2 linked regions of the Kluyveromyces lactis genome follow. The protein of the gene in region 1 purifies or fractionates together with the protein of each later gene. This does not show direct contact. Links are inferred from orthologs where the notes say so. Each region holds a gene or a part of one and is shown on either strand. Other genes may lie near its edges. The genes, in order: SEN2 and SEN34.

What was found.
Region 2: the proteins of SEN2 (region 1) and SEN34 purify together in Saccharomyces cerevisiae (affinity purification with western blotting; 4 studies listed by BioGRID, with this or other methods). This does not show direct contact. The link is inferred for Kluyveromyces lactis from reciprocal best matches to the Saccharomyces cerevisiae genes SEN2 and SEN34.

What each region holds. Positions count from the first base shown.
Region 1 is NC_006042.1:1,837,222-1,840,314, forward strand, and holds SEN2 (tRNA splicing endonuclease subunit SEN2), read right to left. Parts: upstream 1,763-3,093; coding exon 653-1,762; downstream 1-652. Other genes in the region: LCL2 (Lcl2p), read left to right, coding at 74-478; REA1 (AAA family ATPase midasin), read right to left, coding at 2,461-3,093. UniProt on the Saccharomyces cerevisiae protein: Constitutes one of the two catalytic subunit of the tRNA-splicing endonuclease complex, a complex responsible for identification and cleavage of the splice sites in pre-tRNA. It cleaves pre-tRNA at the 5'- and 3'-splice sites to release the intron.
Region 2 is NC_006037.1:782,933-785,994, forward strand, and holds SEN34 (tRNA splicing endonuclease subunit SEN34), read left to right. Parts: upstream 1-1,666; coding exon 1,667-2,560; downstream 2,561-3,062. Other genes in the region: calcium-transporting ATPase PMC1, read right to left, coding at 1-436. UniProt on the Saccharomyces cerevisiae protein: Constitutes one of the two catalytic subunit of the tRNA-splicing endonuclease complex, a complex responsible for identification and cleavage of the splice sites in pre-tRNA. It cleaves pre-tRNA at the 5'- and 3'-splice sites to release the intron.

The sequences.
Region 1 (3,093 bases):
ACTATAGGTACTAAACACTGCTATCTGATATTTCATATTGCAGTATTACGAAATACGAAGATCTTAACTTACTATGAAACTACTGGGAACAATAATTGGTTCAGCATTCTTTTTACAAGCTGTGTCTGGATTCTTTTTCGATTCAGGTCACCAGAATAGACAGCAACAGCAGCAACAGCAGCAACAGCGGGATGTTGGCTCTTACCAGCAAATGTTCCTAGATAATGACTGTCCGCATTATTTATGTCCACAGACATTGGATTGTGTGAGACAGAAGTCGGATTGTGCGTGTCCGTTCCCTAATTCACAATTGAAATGCAATCTACCCAACGGTCAGGTAATTTGCATCTCAAAGCCAGCAACACATGATCCAACACTGGTAGAGATTTATGATGATCCAGTAATGGGACCAGCTCAACGTACTGAGGGATTCAGAGATTGTGGATGGATCTTGGATGTATATGACGGCAAGATTTAGAATGAGAGATCTTTCTTTCTGTATCGGCCATAATACTATTACAAACATAAACTGATAATATATATAGAGACATATAATACAGACCATTACTGTATTTAATGCAATTAACTAGCATGGGTTTATTTTTACTCGTTTGAGTTCTTCGCGGAAAAGATCGTTACCGGTTCGGAACAGTTAATCTCTGTTCTTACCTGCAACCCATCTTTTGTATAACAATTCATGGATTTTAAAGTTTCTGAAAAGCTCATCGTACTTTGATTGCTTCCAAAGTTCCATTAAGTCATCTTCAGGTATGAGTTGTTCAACGTAGCATAATACAAACTGTTTCTTGGCTCCGCCCACGACTCTGGCAGCGCTTGAATACCAAGTGTAATCATTTGACTGGTTTGCATCCAAAACCATGATTCCATACTCCGCATGTTGGAAAGGGGGTCCTCTTCTGTATAATAAGTATTCGCAACCAAATTTTATCCCCGATCGTACACACCACCCTTTGGACCTGTAATGATGGTACGCGACATATTGATGAATTAATTTCTTGATGTCTTGGAAACTTTTCGGTTCCAGTACCAACGAAACCATTAATTGTTGCAATGTGATCTTCAATACCGGCACTGCATAAGAGAGGAAAATAGCCTCGACGGGCATCAATTGCAAGCTTTCTAGTTGAATCACTGATTTGCCTTCTATTAATCTTAAATCTTCGTCACGTATTTGCATCGAGTCCTTTTCAAAAGCTAATTCTTTATCTCTTTGATTCTTTAAGAATAACCTTTCTTGTTCAATGAATTGTTCGTCTACAATCCCCTTTTGTCTCATTTCTAACTTCTTGGCTTCAAATTCAGCTCTCAGTTTCTTGAATTCGAGCCGCTGCCTTCTTCTAACGTCTGTAACATGCTCTAAGTTGATTCGATCAGCATCATTTAGTTGCAATCGAGACATTGTTCTTGCCTGCCAGTTGGGTTCACTCCGAGATAGTTGACCAGTACCAAAGAATCCGTGTTCCCATAAATACTTCATCTGCCATTGATCACATACCAAAATTTGACCTAATTGGTTGATCTTGACGTCAATAATTCTGGTTTCACTCCATCTCATCGCCCAATCTAATATCCAGGAAAATGCCTGAAAGGGATGTTTCCATACAGACGGTACAGGCTGCGCCTCTATAGGCAACGCATGTTTGTATTGCAGCTGATTTCTATGAGATCGCTTCGACATTGTAAGTACTTGCCTCCCGCGGTCTTCATATATAGTTACTAAACATGCAAGAGAGATTAGCATTGGACAAAATATGGTTTTATAACTGATCTCTAATTCAAAAGAATTAAGTTTCAATAACTAAAAACTCGAATAAGCAGTACAGAGTTAAGGAGTGATATTAGGTTTACATATTTTACTAAGAGGGGTACGAATTAGAGTAGAGAAAGGACAAATCAGATACCGTTGTAGTCTATTGAGAAATCGTGTGCTCACATTGAAATAAATTCTTCGAGACATCTAAAATGGTTTATCATCATATATAAAGAAAAAGCCCTTCAAAAAAGAAAAATATCCACAGAGGTAACATATCTTACCGCTCACTCCATCTGGAATCTATGAACAGTAAGTATGCTGGCTGTATGAATCAACTACAGTTGGTTTATTTTTTGGTTGATCAGAATACTTATATATGTGGCATCAAACATATCTTTTCTCTTCCAAGCTCATCGCTTTTGGCCTTTTATACTGAAAAATGAAAATTTTCACGTTTGTGAAATGTCAGTATCACATACAACGGACAATTTCTATACATTTCGGGCTCTAAGGAGGCAGAGATTCTATGTGTTGAGCCGGGTCTGGGTTAGGGCTTTAAATAGTTTAGTACCATGAAATATTGGTATATTTTTATTTATTGTTGATATTGTTATTACGGTATCTAGTTAAAGATCTATTGTACAGTTTTATACTTTTTTTTAGGTTTTTGACGTGATGTTGTCCATCTACATGGATGCCATCTCTGAGAAATACTGTCTTAAGATAATGGATAACATTTCTGGGAGTTCGGTAATGTCATGAACGACAACGTAGAATTCGAATGGGAATGTGTCTAGGTATTTCTGGACTGATAGTTTCATGTTGCCGAATTGATCTGGAATATAGTTCACTTGAGACATATCCATGATTGATTCGTTAGAGTTAATACCATCGATGACAACGAAAACGAGCATGATTTTATTTTCCCTTGCTCTGCGAACCAATCTTACTAATGTTTCGTGGTCTTCACAAACACCATCGGAGATGATAATTTCCAATTGCCATAGGTCGTTACTCTCCATAGCTCTTGCTCTTTCAAAGATCTTGATACTTTCAGCTACCAATTTCTTGACATCGGTTCTTGTTTCTTGGAAATCAAACCATTGGAAAGTCTGAGCACCAGTTTGGGTATTGAAAGGTTGGTTGAATGGGTGAACTTCTCTTACAGTTTCACCGAATTTCACGATAGATAAACCACCGGATTCAAGTTGAGTTAAAGCCTTAGAGACTAAACAGATACTTTGGAAAGCCAAATTGACAGATTTTGATTCGCTCATAGATTTGGAATCGTCTACTGCAATCATGATTTGATATTGACG
Region 2 (3,062 bases), on another chromosome or scaffold:
GTTCAGGAATTCTATTCAATCCATACACCTGAGTTCTCTCTAGGGACTCGATATCCTCGTCTTGTATAGTAAGACCATTGGTACGATCCGTTTGCAAATAAGTATACAAATTAGATTCGTCATTATCGAATACGTTATTGAAGGCAGTTAGTGATTTGGGATCGTGTAATTCCGAAAGCTGAGATGGAGCCAACTTGAAACTCGACGCCTTGGTCATTCTATTCACAGACATCATGGTAATTTGAGTGTCGTGATGTTTTAAAGGTTTAACGGCACCTATTGAGGTGGATGTAACCCCTTTGTTGAGAGGTCTAGTTTGCTCTTCAGTCTCTACAGTTTTATTCTCATCTTTCTTACTCTGTAACCCAACAAAACTTTCCCTACCGGTAAGAGAAGGGCTGTGTGCTTCATCAACGCCTTCATTCAAAGAGCTCATACTCAAGTCGCTAAAGAAATAACCTGTCAGTTAGCAGGGTAGGAGAGAGCACCACAGGGTTAATATGAATTGCCCTTTCTAAAAACTTTAACACAAAAAAGTGAGAACTTTCTTCTGAATATTATAATCAAATCAACAATTAGCACGCCAAGGAATGTATTCTGTAAGCCAATTCTTGTTCTTTTTCCTTTCTTAATAACGATTTCTTCTTTTGTTAGTTTTCCAGTGCCAATGAAAGCCTTTAATGCGTGGAATTAATGATTCAAGTTAATCTATATATATGACAAACCCATTCAGCAAACATAAAACGATAAAAGCATAAAAATGTCCGGAAAGCTTATGATTACGATGAATTAGGATAAGGATAAAGTTGAGGAAGGGTCGCAGCCTTGAAAAGATGCATTCTATTAGTCTTGATCTTTCGGTTTTCTGTTTTTTTGTTTTTTTTCCTGTTACAAACTTTCGGGGCTTAGTAGTCTATATACATTTCGTAATCATACAGAATATGCAACTACGGTACCTACTTAATCAGATGTAGTAATTGGCAGCTGATTTTTCCAGCCTGGGAATATATGGATGATGAAAAATTGGTGTGATAGTGCCCTGCATATGGATATTGGATAAATGGTTCTAGAGTGTCAATTTCCCACAGGGTGGCTGGCCATCTCGCTTACTTTAATGATTCCACAGTGGTAATGAAGGGGAAAAAAAAAGAGAATGGACCCTTACTCAATTGGAATTGAGGCTAGGCTTAGTGTTTGATATCTGATTCTGGATATAACGAGATTACCCCCCGCAAAGGAAGTGAGAGAGGCGGAAGAAGCCAGCCGAATGTGGTATACGTACCCACGGTATCGCAAGCTATCTTGCTAAGCCACATCAAAAGAGTCTGCACAGTATCATTTTCCATGTAGCTGACGGAAGTTTTTTTGTCTGGTCTGTAGCCTATGTGTTCTACAATTGATTTACAGTTTCACCGGACTATGTCACTTGCTAGTTGCTACTGTGTCGCTTGTGAATCGCCCTTTCCGGTCTAGCTTTGTTAAAAATCGCATCAACTTTTTTCTTTTTTTCGCTCATCGGAATAATTAAGGCCAGTAGACAGCATTTGGTTTGAACAGTATACATACATGCATTCAAGCAAACAGCCAGGCAGCTCATCGCTCATGGACCAACTGTAAACCTTCGGTACCTATTTAAAAGATAAGCGGGAAATCGTAGCAGTGTCACATGGAATACAGAGAGAGTTTTACAAAAGCAATGAGTGAGAAGGCCAAGATTTATTTGGTAGGATCCAATTTGGAAGACGGTGATGGTGATGATGCATCATCGGTGGTCCCTGTACTGTATGATGTCGACGATATTGCCAAGATAAGAGAACATGGCGTGGCTGGTGTTTTAATTGGTACCTTGGGAGGTGCTCCGCAGCAGAACGTGTTCCTTGGAGTCCCGCTTCGATTGATGATGGAAGAGGCCTTGTGGCTTGTTGAAGTTGGACATGCAGTGTTTAGGCATGTAATGGGCCAAGACTTGATAAAGTCTCTAAAGGGTTTAGATGGCGAAAAGTTACAAAAATTCAAAGACGACAGAGCAAACGATGTAGCGCAACAGTTAGAATGGAAACGGGCTAATTTCTTGCGGAAAATGAAGACCCTTCGAGGCGCAAGCGATGTTGCAGTACCGAGTGACGTAATTAACGAAAGGGATGAACAATTGATGAAACAGTCTATCTTCATCGAGACCAAGGATACTTCAGCTGTCATTGAACCAAGCCTCAACGATCAAACAATAGATCAACGAAAGATATGCGAACAAATCTTGAGACAAAACGAGAAATTGAGGCTAAACTATAAGGTTTACAAAAAATTGAGAGAAATGGGGTATTTCATGTCACCAGGAGCCAGGTTCGGCGGACGATACGTTGCGTACCCGGGGGACCCTCTCCGATACCATTCGCACCTTACTGTGCAGGATGCAAGAAGCAAAGATGAAGAGATAGATTTGTTGAACATGATTAACGGTGCACGTTTGGGAACGAGCGTCAAGAAAACGTGGGTACTGCCCGGTATAAATGAAAATGGGGATGCTGAATTTTACTCTGTAGAATGGGCAGGGTTTGGCTGAGGAAGTATACTTTATTTAAGTTTCGTATGTCCTTTACTTAAGTTGTGCATGTATTTTATTTAACGTTTCATGCAATAATATGGGCATTCCAGCCTTAAACAGAAAATTGAGAGATAAAGTTTGGCCAAGAGGAGAAAGAGATGAAAAAAATGAGAAAGGGATTAAAGCAGTGAGGGGAACGAACCAGACATGACATGACATTCAAGGCCGATGGTGGTCCTATGTTAGATTGAAATTTTCAAGTTATCTAGGCAACATGGCCGAGCGGTTAAGGCGAAAGATTAGAAATCTTTTGGGCTCTGCCCGCGCAGGTTCGAGTCCTGCTGTTGTCGTTATCTTTTTTGTTTTTGCCATTTGCATAGCAAGACAGGGCAACACCATCGAACTAGGTCTCCATCAGAAACTGGAAAATCAGAAAATTTGGGCAAATGGCGCAGTTGGTAGCGCGCTTCCCTTGCAAGGAAGAGGTCATCGGTTCGACTCCGGTTTTGTCCATGACTTT